Linked DNA regions of Drosophila melanogaster. The gene in region 1 interacts genetically with each later gene. Each region holds a gene or a part of one and is shown on either strand. Other genes may lie near its edges. The genes, in order: spi, csw, rho and Sox21a.

Evidence for each region.
Region 2: of spi (region 1) and csw, changing one suppresses a phenotype caused by changing the other (phenotypic suppression), as found in Drosophila melanogaster (2 studies listed by BioGRID).
Region 3: of spi (region 1) and rho, changing one suppresses a phenotype caused by changing the other (phenotypic suppression), as found in Drosophila melanogaster (3 studies listed by BioGRID).
Region 4: of spi (region 1) and Sox21a, changing one suppresses a phenotype caused by changing the other (phenotypic suppression), as found in Drosophila melanogaster (2 studies listed by BioGRID).

What each region holds. Positions count from the first base shown.
Region 1 is NT_033779.5:19,574,281-19,578,926, reverse strand, and holds the start of spi (spitz), read left to right. Parts: upstream 1-1,611; 5' UTR 1,612-1,741; intron 1,742-3,339; exon of another isoform or gene 3,340-3,392; intron 3,393-4,646. Other genes in the region: msb1l, read right to left, coding at 1-887, 953-1,129. UniProt on the Drosophila melanogaster protein: Ligand for the EGF receptor (Gurken). Involved in a number of unrelated developmental choices, for example, dorsal-ventral axis formation, glial migration, sensory organ determination, and muscle development. It is required for photoreceptor determination.
Region 2 is NC_004354.4:2,100,573-2,105,314, forward strand, and holds the start of csw (corkscrew), read left to right. Parts: upstream 1-1,716; 5' UTR 1,717-2,574; coding exon 2,575-3,203; intron 3,204-4,742. UniProt on the Drosophila melanogaster protein: Required in all receptor tyrosine kinase signaling pathways. Functions downstream of the receptor tyrosine kinase torso, acting in concert with D-Raf via tailless.
Region 3 is NT_037436.4:1,461,884-1,469,474, reverse strand, and holds rho (rhomboid), read right to left. Parts: upstream 5,665-7,591; 5' UTR 5,345-5,664; intron 4,010-5,344; 5' UTR 3,989-4,009; coding exon 3,653-3,988; intron 2,986-3,652; coding exon 2,568-2,985; intron 2,436-2,567; coding exon 2,122-2,435; 3' UTR 531-2,121; downstream 1-530.
Region 4 is NT_037436.4:14,102,975-14,109,703, reverse strand, and holds Sox21a (Sox21a), read left to right. Parts: upstream 1-1,585; 5' UTR 1,586-1,896; intron 1,897-2,545; 5' UTR 2,546-2,629; coding exon 2,630-3,162; intron 3,163-4,816; coding exon 4,817-5,450; coding exon of another isoform or gene 5,451-5,507; 3' UTR 5,508-6,223; downstream 6,224-6,729.

The DNA.
Region 1 (4,646 bases):
TTCTTCTTAGAATCCTTTTCCATTGAACGGGATCGCAGATGCGGCTTATTCTTAACGCAACTGAGTGGAGTTCGCTTTTGTGCGGACAGGGGGGTACTGTTTGTCTTGGGCGTAATGGATCCTCCGGTCACCGGGGACCCCTCCTCTTGGTCAACATAGATCTTTGGCTTGTTGGCTCTGGCGGGCTTGCGCGGTGGCACACGACGCTTGTGACCCAAACGCACTCGCTCCAAATGTTTGTTCGACGGCACTTCTGGTAGCTGCTCCTCGCCAGCGACAAAGGAGGCCATGCTGCTGCCAGTGCTGAGATTCAGGGTCAGTGTTTCCAGGATGTGCTCCAGCATCTGGGCCTCGCGTGCCTCCTCCTCCTCGTCGTCGCAGAAGATGATGGGTGTGCGATCGACGCCCAGGCTGGGCGATCGGGGATCACCATGGGGCTGCTGTTCTGGCGGGGGCGTGGCCATTTTCACCTGGCCCTGCTCCAGATTCGGCTCCTGATACGGCAGCAGCTGTTGCTCGCAAGGCAAGGTTTCTTCCTGATCATAGGGCAGTGAAACAATCTCCAGGGAAATATTGTTGTGTGCAGCAGACGGCGGTGTGCCGAAGCTATCGCAGCTCTCCTCTAAATCCACTTGGGGCGGTGATGCAGGCACTGCTCTCTGTGCTGTACCCACCCTGGTGTCCACGAAGAGATCGGCGAATGTGTCATCCATATTAAGCGAACGAACCTCATCGAGGACCAGTGGAGTGCGATTCAGCTGAGGAGAGCGAGGATCGTTCAGGGAGAAGCCCTTGAGCAAACGTTTTCGCAGCATGGAGAAGGCATTTTCACTGGTGGTCACATGCTGCTCCTCCTCCTCAACGCGAGGTTTTGACGCCTGCAAGAACTACAACGCAGCCATCATTACTAGGGTTAGTAATATCAAAAAATACCTAATGCCTATAAACTCACGGTTAAAGGCGTGCGGCAGCCATTTGGTGATCGAGGATCGAGCAAAGCGTTGTTTTGCTCTCGATTCGGCGTCGTCATTTCCATTTGTTCTCGCTTTTCGCTGGCCAGGCGCATTTTGTTTAGTGTCGGCGTATCCGGCAGATATTCACCTTCCATTTTTGTTGCCTTTGCTCCCATTTTAATCAAATAATCTGACTTATTTTGCGACTTCTCACTAAATGTTGCGGGGTAAAATAAAATCGTTGCCGCGCATTTGTTTTGAAATGGCGTCGTGTGGAGTTGCCGGATCAGGAAATGCCAACTGGTAACAGTATTGTTAACGTCAGTCTAGCTATTTTCAAGCCAATTCTAGCAGTGATTACAAATGGATTTTATCACTAGTTCTTTCATTATTACTAATAACTAACTAATCGTTACAAATATAAATAGAAATTAAACAACGTTTGGGATATTTAGAACTTAAGTCTGTAATGTTTAGGTGGATTCTTCTTGTTTTACTCCTCTCAAATAAATTTATGAATTGATTTTTATTTATAGTACATAAGAAAATGTAAAATTCAGTAAACAAATAAACTAATATTAAAGTTATCAGATATTTTTTTTAATTTCGCTTTACAGCACTGATTTTTATGCTGCCTCGCGATAGTGTCATCTCCCTCCAGCTAAAGTCTGGCAACACTTGTTCATTTAAGACGCGACACAACGAATTGTACTCTTTCAGTTTTTCAAAAAGAAAATGGCATGAAAACAGGCCAAAAAAGTGCGACAAACGAAGAGCTAAATCCCAAAGTAAGTGGTAAAGTAAGTGATAAACATCCAAATGAAAGCAACCCAAATGCATACATAAATGCGCGAGTGTGTGTGCTAAATTATAACAGTAGTGACTGTGTACCTTCACGGAAAAAGGGAAATGAAGACAGGAAACTGGGTTTTTTTACTCCAGATGACTATTTTTATTGAATTTACGCAGTTGCTGTACTAAATAGGCGAGTGTTTTTGTGTATGTGTGTGTGGGCGCCGCAAGCAGCAGTAAATTCTCCTGTGTGTATATGTGTTTTTTTTTTCTATGGCCGTCTCCTTTTTACACACACTAGCGCACAATACAGCTGCGCCTTGTTTTTTGCCGACATTTTTTCTGCTTAGTTTTATTTATTTTATTTCAATTAGGCAGACAAATTATTTTGCTCGCTTTGTGGAGCCATCAATGTGGGTTAGTAAGCTAAAGTGCTGCGTAAAATTGCGCTATTGTTTTATTTGCCAATTGTAGCGCAAAAAGTAAGCAAATTGTATACACACAAACGCCAGAGCGCATGTCGTGCAGACTTTCTCTCTTGCTCCAAATTGCGAGTGTATGCATCTGCGTTCGTGTGCGTGTGAGTACTGAAAACAACCGAATTTCATTCATTGCTCATTTCCGAGAAAAACTACACGCTACACTCGTCGCCATCTGCAATTGCACCTCTGTGTGCGTAAGTCACTGTATCACAAGTACATTATATGAACTATGTATATAGGAGCCGCTGCAGTTGTGCAACATGTTAATTGATTCCAGGGGCTGCTGGGCGTGGCAGGTGCAAAAGCCCCTTCCACCTGGCTTCTATTTACAGAAACTTCTTCCCACTTCCAGAGTTCAACATTCTTGCTCTTCCCGTCGCTTGACCGCGTTTTTCAAACATTCCACGAGCGGTCTTAGCACACTCACACCGGCACGCTATGTGTGTATACATACGTATGTACGTATATTGATTTCAATCAACTTTGAAGCGCGCTCTGGCCTTCTCCTTCGCTCATTCGGCGGTGTGCTATGCTCTGCCTGTCTCTCTCGTGCTCATCTGTCAATTGAGCACCACGTCCGTTTGTCGGCTCATCAGCAATTTACACAGACACACACTTCACCGCGCTGCATCCGTGTGGGTAAATTCCATTTCCTGTTTATAATATTGCGGCGTCTTGTCTGTCTGTCTGTCTGGCGTACAGCGGAGACGCAAACCAGCGTCCCTTTCGCCTTTCGTTCCGCTCATCTCGCTGCACAATGGATCGATCCTAAATAAGCATCTTTTAAAAAGTATTCAAAGTTTGTAAATCGTAACGCATAGCAAATATATTGTTATCGTCATAGTTTGTCATGGTTATAGTTTTGTTAGCTTATTTTTGTTATTCTAAACATTTTAAATTAATACTACATCTTTTTGCAAATCGGATATCCGTCTACTTTCGCTCTTATCCCACGTACATATCTCCCACTTACGATCATCCGCGAGTTTCGGTTCCGTAGCACGTTACCTTACGCATCGCAACCACTGTGCCGTTGGCATTGGAACGCTGACCGCTTTGCGGCTGGGAACGATGGGGAATCGGAACATCCGAATGCGACGCGCTCCGCTCTTATTCGAATTCCCAGCCTGATCCGGCTGTCACTGCTCTTGTTGTTGCGGCAGCGGTGAGTTGAGTAGTACAGTACGTGCCACTTCCTTTACATTCAGAAAAATAAAAATTGCTCACACACACTCATGCATGTATACGCCTAAAGCATACATAAACAGACGTTCCGGACAGACAGACAAACATTGAGTGGAGCGTTGGGAGGGGAGCGGTTGCTTGGCGTCTGCGCCGTGTGTTGTTGCTTTTATGCTGCCCCTACTTATTGTTCTTGTACAGTTGCAAAGCCACTCACATGCGTGTGTGTGTGTGTGTGTGGAGCCAAAACAGTGAAAACGAGTTTGATGTCTGGCTAGATATGGCAACTCTGTCGGCGAGTGCACATCCCCCCAACCCCAAGCCCCAAGCACCCGCTTATTAGAAGAGAAATACCGCAGAGCGTTGTTGTTGATTTTACGTAAGAAGGCCGTCGAACTCAGCATAGAAAATGGTGAGCGAAAGAAAGAGCGGCCGCGAGATAGATGAAATATGGGGGCCCACGACCAGAACCACAGCCAGAGAGAGTGTGCATGCAAATAGGTGCGAGTGTGTGCGTCTAATGATTACCGTTACTATTTGCATGTTGTCTAGTCAGACGTCTCGCGACCCAGACTGTGCGACCCACCAGGCAATTGGCGAAAAATTCTTCGTCGTGACCTTTCATCGTCATCGTTTCAACCGGACATCCAAGCTATATGCATATGTATGTATGTATGTGTGCGTGACAGTAATGTTGTTTATTGATTTTATTAGCATTGCCTTCGAATTGGCTTTCCGAATGAGCATACAAATATATACGACAATGACGGTAATGGCGGTAAAAACGTTAGCAAATTGCAAGAATGCACTGAAAAAAATTCATACAGTGGGGCAATTAAAAGTACATTAATGTCTCTAGGGCTCTAGGAACTCTGCTGGTTCGTAACATTTAGATTGCAGATATGAACTAACTAATATCGGCCAAATTACGCGAAAGAAAACCAATTACAAAGCGGTCTGGAGGAATCCTTCGCAAAGCATTGCTAGTGCTGTGACTGCAGCTGTACACTTGCCACTCAGTTGCGTGCATTTCTGCATTTCTGCCGGCTGTGGTTCAACGTCCTAAGCCGCACACAACAAGTGCAACAATTGTAACATCAACAAAGCAACAGAACACCGCAAAAGGGGCAGAAAAGCGGTGTGGCAAAGAAGCACAACTTGATGGGGGAATCGGATTGGGAATGGGAATGCACAAATGCAGAAGCGAAGCGACGAAGATGGCAAACGGAATGAGGGC
Region 2 (4,742 bases), on another chromosome or scaffold:
CCTAGCATACTAACCATCCCCCGCCTCCGACTGAACAATAAATTATGTTTATTTCTGGCCCACTCCCCATCGCACCTACGAATGGTTTTGGCTGTGCCCAAATGCGGTCTGGGTCTCCAGCAACGAAATCGGGATAGCCAAGGTCGCGGAGCTCAGGAATGGAGCACTGGGGATACTGGGACTGGGCTGTCGCTCTGGCAACTGGTACCGATCAAGTTTATTTCTGGGTAGGGCGGCACTCACGGCACTCACTACTTCGCCGGAACTTTTAGTAATTCCATACGTAATGTAAACACGTTGGGTAGGCTATTGGTCAATGCCACTTCTAAATTGCGTTACCCGATCATTTCTAAGAACTTAAACTTGCGAATGGCCAATGTTGGCCTCGCTCTTAATTCTGTATCGATAGCAATCAGGTAGCTCAAATCATCTCTACTCACTTTTAATGCACTTCTCGTCTTGCATTTGCCATTGCAATGACTAATATTCTTAACCGACACCTAACTGCGCCCAGAAGCCCCATGTGGTTTCCACGGATCTGGTCCACCTGGCCTGGAACATCCTGTTTGCATTGATGCATGCATGCATAGCTACATGGGGTTTCCCCGACTGGTTTGAGCTGAGCATTTTCAATTTTGATCGAACACTTCGGAGACAATTTCCATTGAGTGGATTTTGAATGTGGTTTGGGTAACAAGTTCTAGTTGGTTTCCAGCGAAAAAACAATGACGAAATGTTGGAAAAAAAAAAAATAGTTCGTCATCGTTGGGAGGCATGAATACGAGGCTGGAAGTAAAGTGTTGCTAGATCGCAGTTCGCAGGCTGTCGCACGTCGAACGATTTTGTTTTGCTGGCCAAAAAAAAAAAAAAGATATTCTGCGCACGTTCGCACCTCTGACGTCTGCGCCTGCGCTGTAAGAGAGCTTTGGCACTGCTCGCTTCTAGCTCCCACTTACCCAACTACCAACCTGCCCACCTGCCCACCAACCCACCTGCCCCCCAGCAAACCCAGTTCCTTGCCTAGATGGCCGCCACAGTAGTTGCTGTGCGGCTTCAGTTTCATTTCCGGTGGCAGGCAACGGACGGCGCTAAAAGCGCTTTTTGTATTTGCTTTCTTACAAGCCAACAACACACTCATATCACGAAATGACCATTTTCGGATTGGAATTAATCTTATGTGCCTGCTTTTCGAAATGTGTATGATTCGGATTCTGATTGCGATGAACTCCATGACTCATCCAGGAGTACAGTCATTACGAAATAAACATAGAGTGGAGCCCGCTATACATATTTATAGGTATTAGCCTGGCTCTAGCACTTAATTGAAAGTAAATGAAAAGTAAAAGTGTAATTTTTTACAATGTTGATTGCAATTCAAAGTGCTTTCGCTTTCTGAATAAACCGTAAGTGGCGTCCACAGGATGGCTACAATTAAGTGGCGCCCGCTGAGGGGCCCAAGCAGTTTGATGATACTGAAACAGGAGCCCAGGGGAAAGCTGTGCACACACCCACTGCCAATCAATTTCAAAGTTACGTCTTTCGCTCCGTTTTATTTACTGTGTTTTTTTTTGTATTTGTTTGTGACTTCTGGCTCGCTGACAGTAAATAAAGCCCATAAATAAAAACACCCACCCACGAGATCGACAGGAAGGGCTAACCAGAGCGCCGGCTGGATTTAAAAACAAAAAGCGCCGTCCGCAGCCAGTCAAGATTCAGATTCATTCATACCCCAGCGCTTAGAACACCACCAGGCCACAGCTCCCGTCCGAGAGATATAGCCACTAAGAGAGAGCGGAAGAATCGAATCGCAAAGAGAGGAGCCGCGCTGAGACAACGTCAAGAATCCGATTTCGATTCCGATTGCGATTTCGAATCCGAGGCAAAAAGCTTCAGACTCGGCAGCAGGCGCTTCATTCTCGAGTTGTGATCCAACGGGTTAGCAGCTCAGCTCGCAAGCAGTCGCCGTTCGTCGTCGAGCGGCAAGCAGTTCGTTTCATTTCTACTGGGCGCCAGTACAAGTTCCATCGAGTGTTTTTGTTATTCGAAGGCAAAGCGCGAAAATTATGCCTTCAGCCACATTTGTCCTGGAGCATTTGATGGCGGCACAATCGCGACTCGACGAGCAGGCCGCATCCCCAGCAGAGGTCAAACCCACCAGCACCATCAACAGCAGCAGCACCACCGTGGCCAAGGCCATCAATGTCAAGTCGTACGAAAAGAAGCTGTTGCTGGCTCTCAAGAAGATTGTGCAATAATAAACGAATGCGGGGTAAACAGCACTCTATTTGACAAACTGTAGACATTTCCCCTAATCGAGCTGACTAAGATCAATAAAAAGCAAACAGAGAAGCACAACAAACAGCGGCAAAAAACAAAAACCAAGAATTCTAGTTTTTGTGCTTTCAGTGTGTGTTCGTGTGTGTGGGCAAGTTGTTACATAAAACAAAAACAATAACAAAATAAAAAAAAAATAATAAAAAAACACCCCAGCCGAGACGCATTTTTCCGCAGTGGAATACTACTATCTAAGCTTCTTTTTGTTTTGGTGTGTGCGAGAAAACGAGTGTGAAGAAAATGCTGTTCAACAAATGTCTGGAAAAGTTGTCCAGCTCGCTGGGCAATGTGGTCAATCACAAGCTGCAAGAGAAACAAGTCTACAACAACAACAATATCAACAATAACAATAACAATACGCTAAACAACAACAATGCCTACAACAATCAGCGAAACTTTGAGTACGAAAGAGCCATACAGGCGCACTACGGAAGCAAGGGAAGACGCTCGGAGGAGCGCGAAAGGAGCGGCAAGTTCAAGGCCAGCAAGGGTCGGAAAGCAAAGGTCACCCCACCAACGGAGACACCCGAGGCCCAGGAGCCGGCCTGCAAGAACTGTATGACCCACGACGAGCTGGCCCAGATCATAAAGGGCGTGGCCAAGGGCGCTGACGCGCAACGTAATCGAGACAACCGACTGCAGCGCAGACGTCGTCCTCTCTCCGCCCAACCCTCCGCCGCTGCCTCCGCCTCCACATCGACGGAATCTCTGCACCGTCTTACACCCAGCCCGCAGGCTTCCTACCCGGCCACGCCCACCTCCTGGACAGCCACACCGCCCCAGTTCCCAGCCGCCTTCGGCGGCGCCAGCTGCTCCAACAGCACACTGTCCCTCTTGGCCACCATGCGCGTCCAGCTCCATGGTTACACGTAAGTTCAGGTCGCCCAAAAAAAACGACAGCAGTCCAGTCCAGAGTGTTAGAAAAAGAGCAGCGTTCTGCTAATTTGGGGCGCGTGCGAAATTAGGCACTAATTGTTATTGGAGTGCGAGTAATGAAGTTGTCAGGCTGCCAACTAAACGATACCCCGTAGCAGGTGAAATGGTATTTTGAGCTACCATCGCATCGTAGTATGTCGCCCCGCCTGTCAGTCACATGTCGCGGAGTAGCAGATGATTCGCGGGAAATCTGGAGACAATCTGCTGCCCATCAACATTAACCCTAATAAGGCAGGCAATCACAGGCAGTTGACGCCGCAACAAAGCAAAAAAAAAAAAAAATCAGCGCAGCACATACTGTCATGTGTTCAGAATTGCCACGCAAAATGAGTAAATATTTACGCAAAGCATTCGACTCGAAAACAAGCAATCGTAAATTGACGTTCTAATATGAATGAATTTCCGACTGTCAAATGCCGAAGTGAAGTGAAGGGAGTGGAATGGCAAATGGCAGGGGGCCCAGCTCAGATCGCCACTCAAATATGGTCACATATCAACATATCAACCCCCCCCACACAATTGGCCCGTTGTCAAGTTGTGTTTCGATATTGGTTCTTTCATTTAGAGCTGAAGATTGAGTTATTGGTTAGGCACTGGCTAAATTACGCACTTGTAGAACCGGGAGAGTTCGGCGAATTGCCCACTGCAGACATCGTATCTTGGCCCACTGCCAGATCGGAATTATCTCTTCACTCGCGCCCGGAATGTTTACCCATGTCCCGCTGTTGCGCTGTCCGTCGTCCACATTCCCCAAAGATTCCATCCCACTCCGTGTCTGATCTTGGTGTTTATCTGCCCGGCTGTGCCATGTGCCGTCCGATTGTTTGTGTGGGCTGGCCCCATCTTGGCGATCTCGATTCGCACAGTACACCCAGAAAACAATCGCATATGTATCTGCTGGACTATTATTATGTCCCATAAATTATCTTTGACTTTTAGTTGAGCTCGGATTGGTAGTGCAGTCGGTTTCGGTTGTTGCTTATTTATTTATTTTGATTTTTATCGCAACGGATTCATAATCGCTGAACGTGTTGATTGGCTCGTTAACTTGATCTTTGTTTTTCTAATTTATGCTCAGCTTTTATAGGTATCCTGCTTTAGGGCGATCTTTTCGTCGTTATCCTAAAACGCACATCATGCCAAATGATCTGAAGATGATGTGCCAATAGCTTTGACAGCTTAAGCTGCGTGATTTCCGGATTTCACTTGTCACACTCACTAGGTCAACAATGGGGCACCGCCGTCCTCTGCCCTCCGCCTTGTAGAACTATTAACCTTCCGATGGTTTTTCTTCTCGCCATAAGGCTGATTAACGATTTATGAAATTACATTTCCCGTAATGGATTTCGAGCGCTGCCTTCTGTTTTGCATATTTCCGTTTATTTGTCCGTTGCACAACCGTGAGCTGTGGCTACTGATCAAATAAAAGCGTTTAATTTGTGCAAATTCATAACGTCGGCCGACTACAAGAT
Region 3 (7,591 bases), on another chromosome or scaffold:
GCTTTAGTTTTCTATTAAGTGCTTATTGCTAATAGGTATGCATTAGTCGACTAAACGCAAACAGCTGGCAAATGTTTTTGGTTCGCTTCAAGTCCTTCGAGTTGAATGCCGATTTGGAAATTCATGGACTTAGTCCTGCTAATCCAGTTGGATTGAATATAATACTCGCATGAGATGTGGAATCACAGACAATATGAATTATTACAAAATGCGTATGCTGCGCCTTCATATTTCATATTGGGGCAACTATCGATTGGTGGCAGTGGCAACATTCGAGTGGGAAAATTCGTTGACACAAGTCTTCTGCGGAGTGGGTATTAATTAAGGATTTTCTTCGAGTCTTAGTTGTAGTTGCAACCTTTCGCTTTGAATTGCCATATTTATGTGGAGCAAATATTGATTGGGCTGCCCCCCAAAAAACTCATCCAGCAGAGGATACATACATACACAAGCTCAACTCGCCCTGAGTTATTTGTGAAGAAAACGAGAAATTCATATATAATTTAGACATTTATTTTTGTTCAATTTTTCTCTCCTTATTTATTTATCTATAATTTTTTGCTATTTGCATTTCTTCTGTCCCTTGTCTCGTGCTGAACATTTCCGTTTCCTAGTTTGTTTTATTTTATTTTTTTGTTTTGTTTTTTTTTTTTCATCGGGTGGAGTGTGGATCCATTATTTTGGAAAATCGAGTATGCTATCTTGGGGTTTTGTGGCCCAAAAGGATTCTATTTTGGCTTACGCTTTGCTGGCCTTTATGCCAGATTAGCTGTTTTCATTCGGCGATTACTTTGAATATTTCTCTATTTGCGTACGATATATATATATATATATGTATATATATATGTGTATCGGTCAATATGTCAAGTATCTTGATAATCTGCTGGCTCGATTATTTATTGCCCTTAAATTGTGGGAATTAAAACCAAGCGAGCCGACAGCCAAAAACTGAAAGTAAAATAAAAATACAAAATGGGAAATGAAAACGCTTTTGCTTGTATTTTGTTATTACTGTTGTATTCTTGAAATGTTTTGATTTTTTATTTTCTTTGGCTTTTCGTGTGTATTTTTCAATTGGATATTTTTACAGTTGAATTGGTTTGTTTCTTCTCTCTCTTGTGTTGTTGTTGTTTTTTCGTGCTTGTTTGTGTGAATTTCACTAAATTATTAAATAAATAAATAAATAAATAGTTCGCTCAATTGACGAATTAATAAACCCTCGCTGCCCTACCATAAATAAATATAATTAGTAATACTTTCGAGTGTGTGTGTGTGTGTGTGTGTGTAGGGGATTACGATGCTCGATTTTGTAACGCATTAAGTGACTTTAGTATAATTTAATTTAATTTAACTCGATTTGCTTAATTGATCTGAATTGAATGGTTCTTTGCTGTGGTTTTCCATATTTTTTTTGTTGTTTTTGCTGTTGCTGTTGTTGTTGTTTGACTAGTGTGCGACTTAATAGTATTTACAATTTGAAACAATTTGTTAGGAGGGCTAGTTATACCTAAATATATATAAATTATAACACTAAATCCTACAATTCGGAGCACATTATGCTTATGGATGTATAAACAATTTGATACAGTTTGCTGATGCTTCGATTCGATTCATTCGTAGTAATTGCGGCCAATAAATACATAATTTAAGAAAACAGACAAACCATTAATTGAAAACATGGATAAATCATTTAAATCATAGCGAGAGGCGATTAGTTCTGTTTCTCCTCTTTGATTTTCCTCTTGATTTTTACTTGGTTTTTACACGCGAAATAAATTCAGTCTTTGGTTCTATCACAACATTTGTTTACACGTTTCGGCTTCGGTTTATGTTCTCCTCACTCCTCGCACTTTCTTTTTGTCCAGTGTATTTCTCTTGATTTGTTTTTTTTTTTTTTGAGTTTGTGTACTATGTTTCGGAACTGAAACGTTTAACTGCAAACGGTAACGATAACGAGATAATGCTAACGAAAAGCAAAAGCCAAACGAATATCGAATTAGTTTTGAACTAAATCGTTGAGTGAACTTTTCTTTTCCACCAACTCTCTGTCTCTCGATCTCTCCTGAAGCTCAAGCAGATTCCGAATCCCTGCGAGCATGCTGACGACTCCGAACCTCAAACTTAGGACACTCCCAGGTCGTGCAACAGATGCTGGGTAATCACCTCACCCTGCTCCTCCATCAGCTGAGCGGTCACCGTGTTGATCAGGTTGAAAACGATGGCGAAGACGGTGAAGGCACAGTAGACGCCCAACGCTAGCCACCAGATGAGCTGCTCGTACTCTCGGTGACCGAAGTTCTTTAGCACCAGAAAGCCGATCGTTAGTCCTGCCAGGGCTCCCGTCAGGTGGGCAATGTACGACACCTGGGGACCCTTGGCGAAGGCGCTTCCATCGAAGTATTGGGTGTAGAGAGCATAGCCCAGATCGCAGGAGACTGCAAATGGAAGAACAGAAGGGATTCAAGTTAGTTAAGTTAAACATAGAAGAAAAAGATGTGACAAATTCGTGTTTAGGTAGGATAGATTAGGTTCTATAGATTCTAGTCATAAGGTGTGGGGAAACTCACCAAAGATGACAACGGATCCGAGTTGCGTGGATGCGCTCTTCATGTGCGCATAGTTCAGTGTAATGTTGGCCAGATGTGCGGCCAACAGGGCATAGACGCCACCGCTGGCGCCCACCAGGAAGACCTCCGAGTCGACGACACTGGTGCCCAGGGATCCGGCAAAAACGCCCGCCATGTAGATCACGCCGATCCTGGCCGTGCCGTGCATCACCTCCAGGGGAATGCCAAAAAACAGCTGGATGACGATATTGAAGCCCAGGTGGAACCAGTTGGCGTGCAGGAACATGTAGCTAAAGAAGCGCCACACCTGCAGACGCCGGTCCGGCCGATAGACCAGCACCGAATCCGACGGAATCGGAACGGGTAGCCCGAAATTCTGGGCGGGCATTGTGTAGCGGTCGTAGGCGAAGATGGCAATCTAAAATGGACAGAGACGCAAAGAATTGGGGGTTAGTTCTGGGCTCTCGCTCTGATTTATGTTGTTGCTGTCTGGCACGCGACCACGTTCCAAATAAAGTCTTATGAGAATGCTTAGGGGCGAGTCCTGCCAACTTGGCAGGGCTTCAAACTCACTAAACTCATACGCCCCGTGGGCCGCCCTGTTTATTTGATATTCGTGCTAGTTTCTATACGAAGCAAATTATTTCCAATACGAATGTAAGGGGTCATGTAAAAGTGTATTGTTTATTTTAAACTCAATGTTCCAAGTTACCAATTTCGCTATCAAACTAACTATCATTTCCATCTTCTCATCTTCCACTGTTTTTCACATGACAATTTTTGGTCTGCCCTTAAAAAATAAAAAAAAGAAAAAACTACGAACGGTCTGGTTTCATAAACTTTTCTGTTCGCTTTTTTTCCTTCGGCTGTTTTGTTGTTCAACTTGTTTACAATCGATTTTCGGGGGCGCCAGCGAGTCAGACGCAGAAAACGAAACACGAAAAGCGAGGAAAACTCTCGGAAAACTTCCGCCCTTCGTCGCCGCTTTCCGCCCCCTATATCATTTTTATCGCTCTTGGGATGAAAGTTTGCGGCTTCTTTGATTTAATGGGTTGAGTTACTGAGTTCGCTGTGTGTGTGCTTACCTCAATGATGGAGATCACTAGGATGAACCAGGGCCAGTGCTGGCGGTGGACGTACTTCAGCAGGCCGATATCCTCCGACTCCGGAAGTGGCGTGGCCGGGATGGCCTCGCGTTGCATGTAGATGTGCTCGCCTTGGCGGGTGCAGCAGGTGCTGCTCGCCGTGCTGCAATCGGTGTCGTACGACGAGGAGTTGGAGGAACTGGAGCACGCGGCGGGAATGTCAATGATGGTCTCCTTGGCGGCGGTGGCATGCTCCTCCTCCTGCGACGCCTCCTTCTCCTTCTCCTGGCCCAAATCCACCTTGGTTTCGTTTACATTCTGCGTTAAGTTCTCCATGCTGGCGCCGTTGAAGAAATTCTGGAGAAAGAGAGGAGCGCATAAAGTGTGTAATTAATTAACTTGAACCGAACAATAAACAAAAATCAATTAAGTGCATAAGTTATTCATAAAACGCAGCACAAAACAAGAGCAATTACAACACTTCAGAAAAACCAGAGTGTGTGGGGAAATGCAGCAGAAATAAAAGAAAAGCGAAGGAAAAGCCTGCTTCTTTGTGGGTAAGAATTTTGTTTATGGCCTGGGACACGGATTCCGATGCCTGCAACTTCCTGGCTGCTTTTCCCCGAAGGGAAAACTGGGTCAGCTTGTGTGAGCTAACCATAAAATTTGATGGGCCAAGTTTGCTTTTGTGGCCCGAAATTAGCTGGACAAAATTGAAGATGTAGCTTGTGTAGCATCTACGCCGTTACATAAACTGCACTTTCAGCCCTGAAATCATCTTCGCTAATGGCCAACTAATCAGCTAATGGCCAGGCATTATTGTAATTCATTGCCCAGAGACATTTCCTCACAAATTATGTTAATCGCATTCGATTCAATTACAGTCACAGCACAAATCTTCTTAAATTCCCCAAACAACTGTTCGTCGCAACAAGGAAAAAAAATAACAAATTCATTGCCTTGCTCAACAAAAAAAAAAAAAATAAACTTAAAAAAACGCGTTTCTCCCACTCACACTCATTGTGTTCGCATATGCCCCCTCTCTCTCTTTCGCCTCAAGTCGCATTGCACACACGCACCGTTGTTGCTTTTGTGTCTGCTACCTACACTGCTCGAAAAAGTGAGTGGGTGCCGTGCCTTGGCTGGCGCTCTTTTCATGTTCTTCATTTCGGTTGCCTAGCAATTTCAATAAGGCACGAAATCGCAGTCGGCCGCTTATTAATTAATTTATTTATTAACTTTAATTGCAGACTGCACCGAATGTCCATGCGAGCATGAAGAAGAGATGTCGAAAGCGGGCTTTAAGACATAATGAATTAATTCATTCGGCCTTCTTTTCATCATTTCTTTCTTCTCATTTTTTTTTTTTGTCTGTTTGGTCAGAAACATAGTTTCACATGGCCCGCGGTGTAATTTGCATTTTTTATGCTTTCTGCTGCACTCGCACCCCTAAAAAAAAAAACGGGCAAAGGGTGCGAGCGAGAGAGATAGAGCGAGCGGGCACACAGGTTGAACAAACTCATTACGCCTCTAAGTTGAAATGCTTTTGTTTTGCCGCTGTGACAATTTCTATTGCAATTTGCACATTTCTTGCATATCCCTTGTGGCTTGTAGCTTGTATCTCGCAACTCATATTTTGTATCTTGTATCTTTTAGCTCTCGCGCATTTTCTCATTAGGGTCGGGGGCTTACCTTAGGTTTTTCTGCCTGTCGCAATGTTTATAATCCAAAATGCGTGGGTTTCTTGTAATCCAAATGTCTTTAGTTAGCTGGCATATTCGCACGTTTTTCACTCGCTTTTTTCGGCTCGCACATTGGTAACTTAGTTTTGCTGCTCGTAAATCCAGGAGCTTGTATTCAGATATTCTTGAGATATATATTCTCTGCTTGCACCCACACACACGACAATTTGAATATTTCTTTCTTTCAGTTTCAATTTCAGTTTCGAGTCGCAGTCCGACTTTCTCAGTTTGATGATCTCGCGCTCGCGGCTCGCACGCAACTGACTTTCGAAAGGCAAGGCAGCCGGCCTTTATAAGTGCTCGCTGTGCGGTGCAGTATAAGAGAGCCACTTCGAACATGTTGTGTTTTGGTTCGGCCGTATAAGTGTTGCATGGCACATCCGGATCTTGTCTTGTGTGGGTGGGTGGGGTGTGCGCACTGCAGTCACTCGACTGCTGCAGCTCGAGGCGAGCGGTTCGAAGGTTTTTCGTCGCTGGTTATTCACTGGTTTCCCCCATCTGCCGCCTTGCCACATAACGGTGAATGACTCATCCAGACGGGCCAGCACTTCTTGCCAATGCCACTGACTAACAAATGCGTCGTCTTCTGTCTTCTGTCTTCTCGCCGATCTCCAGCGATCTGCGCTTTGTCATGGCCTACTACGCAGATCTGAGCTCTAATCTCTGCAATGTTGCGAAATTCTAGCAAGGCCTTTGCGTTTAATTGCCTTTCAGCAAAACCGACTTTTATCTCATTTTATATTATTACTAGTAATATATATTAACGTACTAGAAGAGGTTTAAGCTCATTTTAGTTGTATTTGTAAAGGTACCAAGTCCATTGTTTTGCTGAGTTTCCCGTCGATGCCTTTAAACAAAGACAAGAAAGTCAAACAAATTGTTAACACAATTAAAGATGATGAAATCGGTAGTAGCAGTCGCTTTTTCTTTAGCTCCGCACTTTCGAATAGTTTCCAGAAATAACTTCAATGTCACAATTGCTCACAATGGTAATGTAAATTAGTTTCTAAACTAAAAAAACTAGCAAAACTATTTGCTTGCTTAGAAATAGTTTTAAAATTCCTCTATTGATACGTAACCGTTCAATAGCTAAAACATTGCTTCTATAATTCTGTTGTTTTTAAGGGAACGTGCCACTGCAAGTGGCCAAAAATGCAAATAAAGTATATCGGCTCAGCAATGCAGAACATGTCATGGAATCGAATTCGAAACCGAGCCCCGTCCTGATTCCCCTTGATTCCCCGATTCCCCGTAGAAGATCATCATTGTCAGGGGTTTCGAATTTCACACCTTTTCCAGCGAGAGCTCCCTCGGAGGCGTTGAGCGAGCAGATAGAAATCGGTAGCAAAAATAAATATTTATACAAATTATTAGGCAGCCTGAGCCGTTGCAGTCACGAGTTCGCGGGAAAGGTCACCACGGCATGTTGCACAAAAGGAGTAGCTTTCGGCTTCCTGGCCGAAAGGATCGAGACGACGTGGTTACGTGTTTTGCATGATAAGCTGGGAATTTACACAGATCTAATAGATAGATATACCCATCCTGGCCAGTCATCCTCATCGGCGGCATGAAAACTCCCGCATGAAAAGTGAAAATATTTTCACTGGGCGCAAAAGAGAGGCGAAACAGATTCAGAGTCCTCGTCCTCGTCCACTGAGATTTATGATGACTTTTTAACATGTGCGTGCAACAGGTAAGCAGATACGAAAACACAGTTGCTGCACTACATGCCCATGACCAGGCACGTCATCAGCTCGGAGTTTCTCAGCTCATCTTCATCGTAAATCCTTTTTTCCCACGTTCCCTCAGGTCGAGTTCCTCCATCCTCCATTGCTGCGTTTTCATTGTGCCAGACACGCATTGCCAGCACTCCACGGACATGGACCCACTGGCACTGGCAAGGTCAGCCACCGTACCAAAGCAATCTCAGCCACCCAAAACACTCGAGCTCGAATTCAGGTAACCGAGTGGGCGTGGGTAGGACGTGGGCTTTTCCCACGCAGGACAGGACGTTGATTCCTGGCCCGTCGCCCGGGAATTTCCCCCAAAACATGTGCTCAACATATGCGAGTGCCTCATGGCATCGCGAATCAGGAAATTCCGCCCGCCACTTGCGCTTCCCGCCGCACAGCAAGGTGTCCTTTTTCCGCTTCCCAGAGTTTCGTTTCGCGACTTTTTGTTGCAGCCGCACTTGTCT
Region 4 (6,729 bases), on another chromosome or scaffold:
GGAACGCAATAAAATTAAAAAAAAAATTTAAAATAAAAAGCACTGCGACGATTCATTTATCTTTAAAATGTTGTTTTTGTTACTTTCTAGGTCAAATTAATTTGAAGATTTAGTATATACTGTGGAAATGTTGCTAATAGTCCCAATAATCGTTAAATATTATTGCAAAAGCATATTTAATTAAAATTAATTGTGATCGGGAAATTATTGTTCCGGATGTACTATACCTAGCATATTACACACTTTTCTATTGACATTACACTGTAAACACCGGGAAAATTGTCTAATTTCTTAGTATTCGTCAAGGGAGAAGCTCCGTTGGCGGAACATTGAAACCGTCAATTATAAAGAGCGGCATTTATAAGAAATTTTAGCAAATGTATAAAGGTGGTACTATTAAGGGATCAAGGGCTTCTAATCGTTGCAATTATACAGAAATCGTTATTGGTACAGCAACAACAAGAATTGAGAATTTCCTGTGTGTGACAAACAAGGAGAGCAATTGAAATAAGCGGCCCAACCCTGCCAACAAAAAGGGCCAATCTTGCGGATACCGAAGCTTGCAGCAAACATACCAAATAAGCCACCGATCGATTGTGAGAGCAAACACCGGTCTAATACACAGTAAGAAATTATAGTGCCATAACCATATAGTGTAGACCATGCATATAAGTAAGTATCCAATATTTGGTTAATTGTAGTATAAGATTCAAAAGCTAAAGTGTATTTTTCATTCGATTGATTGTTGCCACTCCGTTTTGTATTCCATTTAAATAAACTAATCAAGGCATTTTTTTGACATCTTAAAAATGGGTTCTCATTCCATAGTTAAGAAGAGCTATAAAGTAGTTTAACTATGCCTTTTATTTGGATCACAAATGCATAGAAGAAAAACAGAACTGAATAATAAAGTGTTTTATAAACGTACCAATTTATGATTTAATATTTTGTAAATAAATATAGCAGCGAAATTCTCAGAACTAGCCGGAATTTTCTTGAATTTTTCAAAGAAAACTATTTATATTTACAATAAAAATTGATATTGGTAGCTTAATATGAAATATGTTATTGGGCTATTCAAATTTTCAAAATTATTTTTGTGTTACGGTTTTGATAAAAAATGCAGATATCATCAACTGGCGAAGAGCAAAAGGAGCAATGTTTGGTAAACAAGAATGCAAACGTGCACACAAAACGAAAACAAACCCGGAGACTATTGTCAATAAGATACAAAACGCAGATACAAAGATACAAAGCAGCAGCAGCGAATTTTTATCACTTAGCCGCCACGTTGACGCGTCCTCCGAAGGTGTAAAAAACTCTACAAAATGTGCGCGCTCTCTCTCTCTCTCTCTCTCTCTTACTTGCGCGACCCTTCTCCCTTGCACTATCTCTCGCCTTGTCTCGCTCCCACTCGGTCCTTTTGGGCGGCAGCGACGCAGCAGCGACCAACCACTACAGAGACACCCTCATACTTACAAACACCCACGTTCTTCCTCTTGCCCCTTTTTGTTGCGTTTGTTTGCCGTTTTTGTCGCAAGTTTTCGAATGTGTTTTCAAATCTAAATTGTCGCGCACTCGAAACGGACGCGCTGCGCTCGGCTAACGGTGAATCGGCAGTCTAACGGTTTAAATACTTTCAACGTTCGTAAATTCGAGGCTCTATAAATCTCGAACTGTTTGGAAAATAAGTTAAAAATTCATATCAGTGCACTTGTGTATTTTTAGGAGTTCTAATGGCGATCAACAATAATTAACCTAGTAATATTAATAAACAAAAAGAACTCGATCGCAACGTAAACTCTTGTGCAATTAATTAGATAGTTAAGTGTCACGCATCGGATGGAATCCAAATTTAAACTTTATTAGGGAGAAATTAAAAGACAATTAATACAGGTAAGCTAATTATGATGATGAGAAAAGGTCCCTAGGTAAACAATTCGAATATTTAAATATGAAATGAAGAAAAAGCTGTGCTCTAAATTAAACTATTGCACACTCCTCCCCAAAAACTAAACACTTTAAAAAAGCGAAATAAGCGAACAAATATATTTTCTTAAAAAAGAAACCAAAAGATTTATAAGGATATGAAATATATAATGAATTTTATGAATATTTGCAATTTTCAATGTTAGAAAAGCCTGTTTTAAAAAATATATCATTTTCCAATCCAATCTTTAATTAATTCATCATTTGAAATCGAATTTGGCAGTACTGTTAATATGCAAATATACGTTCTTCAAGGAATATATTTTGGATAATATTAATTTAAGGGAAATCCCCAATTTTGCAAATACTCAATACTGAAAACTGATTTGAATTACTGGTAAATATTTAAATTGGTTTGTCATAAAACCGGGACACCATTTTGAGCCCCCTGTACACACACATTAGAAGGGGTAAATGGAGTTCCATTGTGCATATTTTTGGTAAGCTATTCGCAGTGCGAAGAGCTCCAATCAAATGACTCATGCAGGGAGCAGCAGACAGAGTCCCCAAGCTAACAAGGCATATCTATTGAATACCATTTCCGTTGGCATTTCAGAGCTCGAGGAGCAGCTGCAGCACTACCACCTGATAATTACCACCTGCACCCCCATTGGAGTCCCTTGACTCCGCGCCCGGCATCATGACGAGCATCTCGGCCCTGCTCCATCGGAGCCACAGCCACAGCAATGGTTACACGAGCAGCGGGAGTAGCAATCACAGCCATAGCAGCAGTCTCTCACCGCAGTTGCCCGGCATCAATTTGGGTTTGGGCATGGTCGGTGGCTTGGGCATGGGTATGAGTGTGGGAGTAGGCTCTGGATCGGGAAACACCACCCCACCACCGATGCCGCCAGCTGACCTCGCCGTTCCGCCAGCGGCCCCCACTCCGGTGGCACCCAAAATGCACCAGCACACGCACCACCATGGCAACTCCCACCATAATGCCCCGACCAGCCACTCGAATTCGAATACTGGAAGCCATCACAACAGCCACGACCACATTAAGCGACCAATGAACGCTTTCATGGTCTGGTCGCGGGGGCAGCGTCGCAAAATGGCCCAGGACAATCCAAAAATGCACAATTCTGAAATATCAAAACGCCTGGGCGCCGAGTGGAAATTACTCACCGAAGGACAGAAGCGTCCATTCATCGACGAGGCAAAACGATTGCGGTAAGTATTGTTCACTGGGGTCTGGTTAAAAAGCACTGAGAAAATATGTATGTACTAAATTTGTAAACAGAAATAAGAGTATTTTCTTACCTGGAAAAGTCCTTACCTTTCAATTCAAAAGTTAATTTTCCAAGTCTATTATTAATAGGGTTTATTAGGGCGAAGTTATATTTAAAAAAAATAAAAAGATATGGATCCCATTGATGTTAAAAATCACAGATTATCATATTGCAGTAATCCTATATTAATTTAAACTAGGAAAAACATAGTTCTTGTATTTTTTGTAGTTACCTCCGCTTTCTATTCTTGGATATAAGAATTACTTTGTTTATTCAATTTTATTCAGTCCACACGATATACATTTTTTTTCTGTGCCGGCTTATGCAGGAGCAGAGTGGTGTAGGTTGGATGGGAAATTCTGGCTTGGTTTCGGTTACCATTTTCCCAGTTGGTAGCTCATTCTCACTAGATGCCGTCTGGCCACAAAATTTGATCGATTAGCTAAGACAAAGGCTACCTATTGTGAGGAGCTCCTGCTGAATTGCGGAGCTCTGGAGTCGGGGATTGTGTCCGCTCTGCTTAGTCAGAATTTCATTGGCACTGCCATATCTTGGGTAAACATTTCAATTGAAGTTGTCACACAAAAGCGAGGCAACACGTCGCATGAAATGCTCCATTCATTTTGCATTTTGCTTCTTTTTGTGTGCTTAACCCATTCAGTGTACCCTTTCGAAAGGGTTTGAGTAATTTCAGTTTGAGCTTAGTTTTAATAAACGTAATTATCGGGATTAACTGAAAATACCGCTAGAATGGAGTTCTTTGTACAAGAAATATACTCAAAAGCGAGCATTTTACAAATAAGTACAAAAGTGATATCTCACATTATTTTATTTTTTATAAAACTAGCTTTTAAATAAGTTGTATTGGTATAAATGGAATCAAAATTTGCAGTGCACTTTTAAACCACAGGAATTCCCAGAAATGCCGTATCTCACAAGTTCGTTTTTTCTATGCCTTCCTAGATAGTGCGGTCTTTTATGATGACGAACCTCTGTGTTTGCACTGTCATAATCCTTTTATTGATTGGATTGGCCTGCCAAAATGGAAATGTTAAATTTTACTTACATTTTATGACATTTATAAATGATCAGGGCTCGTCAGAAGGGGCTTAAACTAATGGCCATTCGGGGTTTTCGAGCGAGCATATCGAATGAAAAGAACCAAAAATTCTGATCAAATATTTGCCAATGCGCGATGATAAGGAAAACAATATTTTTTTTCGGGACCCGCGATAAGGAGGCCATAACTGACCAAAGAAAGGAAAACAAAATAAAGAAAAGCGAAAGTAAAACAAGAGGAGGCGACCCAAACACACCTTTTATCAGGTTTTATCGTTATGTCAAACAAATGTCAACAATTGCGCATTGTTGCAGCTGGGAAATCGGAAAGAGAATCGAAGTTGGAATCGGAGTGCTGGTTCTTCGCTAAATACACAATATAAACTTGTGCATTTTGTATCTGCCTGGCGTGGGGTTTATGGAAGGGTTCCGCTTCTCTTGGGGTTTACGACCAGAGATGGCTGACTTTATGATATCATCAAAGCTTAAATCGTTCGATCTTTTGATCAGTGTTTCAACATTTATTTAATTTACAGGGCTCTGCACATGAAAGAACATCCCGACTACAAGTATCGACCACGTCGCAAGCCCAAGACGCTCAACAAGTCACCGGTGCCAGGTGGTGGTGGTGGCGGCGGTGGAGGTGGTGCCAACGGTGGTGTCAACGCTGGTGGTGCGGGTAACTCCGGTCCCAGTGGCCCAGGATCAGTTGGCTCCCCCAAGGATATGCAGCCCCAGTTGTCGCCCTTGGGTCAGTCGCTGCCACATCTCCACGGACATCCGCACCAGTCACCATATCAATCGCATCCACACCACCCGCATCCTCATCCACATCATGTCCAGCTGGCCGCCGCCACCTTGAGCGCCAAGTACGGTTTTGGTTCGCCACTGGAGTTATCGCTGCCCCGCCTGCCGAATGCCTTTCCCGGCCTCGCCCACTATCCACTGGATCCCACGTTGGCCCTGGACCTACAGGCGCGCCTCCAGGCGATGTACGCCGGCTCCATCTACCACCCGTGGCGATATCTGCCGCTGATAAGTCCGGAAACTCCACCCTCCCCGCCCAGCAGCAGCGGTACCGGCATCTCATCCTACGGATGCGTCAAGTCAGAGAAGTCCTCACCAAATGCGGTAGTGGCCAGCGCGGCCAGTCCGCCAAACATCATTTGACCGACTCCATTGCGCTTCGGCGCCGGCACCTCCTCATCCGCGGAACACGTGGTCTAGGATGAGCACCACAGAGGGAATTTGGATGGTAAACTTTACCATTCCTCTCCAAAAGTTAAAAGTCCTAATGTTAGAGCCTAGTGTTAGACGAATATTAATGCACGTCTTTAGTTGCTACTATAATTATGTTTTTGGTTCTGATTTAGTGCTGCTTCACTATTTTAGATGATTAATTTTAAAACTACATTCAAAATCTCAATTTACTGACATTTTTTGACAAATAATGAAGTTAAGTCCGGCCTCGAAAAGCAATAGACATTTTAAATCAAAGAAATTTTAAAAAATCTTAGCTAAGAAATAACACTTAGTAGTCTCTTATAATTTATATATATATATTTTATATATATTTTTTGACATTTTATTAAAATTCACAACATCATTTGAATTCGTACATATTACTTAAACTGCACTTAATATTTTTATTGATATGTTGTTATATGAATAACTCAATTCTTTCGATAAATCTTTGAATTAATCAGCTTTGAATCAGCTTAAAACACATTTTAAATGGTTTTATTCATACCTAATTTAAGGATTTCACAATCTTTGTTATCAATTTCTGGAACCCAAACAAATGGCTTATTAGATCTAAAGTACATTAGATTTGTTAAGGCATCGAGAACATGTCCACTTTTATGTAATATATGATTGTAAAACTATACTTTAATGTGATAAATGAAAGAGCAGAAATCGAATTAAAAATAGTGTGAAATTCCACGATTTTTAAACAGTGTACTTGAATAAAGCATGGCATTGGGATTTATGGCAAAATTGTAACAATAGTTTTAGGATTGAAGAACCCTATAGAGACCTGGTTTGCATGTGAGTGAAAATCATAGCTTGCAATCTGTAAGGAGTCACCGCCAAACGCCACAGGCTTCTGTGAATATAACGACAATGTTTGCTGATGCGTTGATTATTAGTTTAAATTGCCGACACGCCGCGGGGATGAATGGATGACGATGGCCAGGATTGTCTGCCGTTTCGGAAGGGTGGCGATCGTCCTTAATGGGATTCCTTCACGCCCACTTGTTTAAGCGGCCAACTGTGAAGCGCTCACCGTCGAGGCGTGTCAATAACTCTCGGCCCAAAAACAATTGGCACTTTTTTGTCTGAGGCACTGCACAAAACAAAGCAGCAACCACCACTATTATTGGACTTTTCTCTGGGTGGGTTGGGTGGAATATAGACAGCTTGGCGGTACAGGGCAATCGCGACAGCA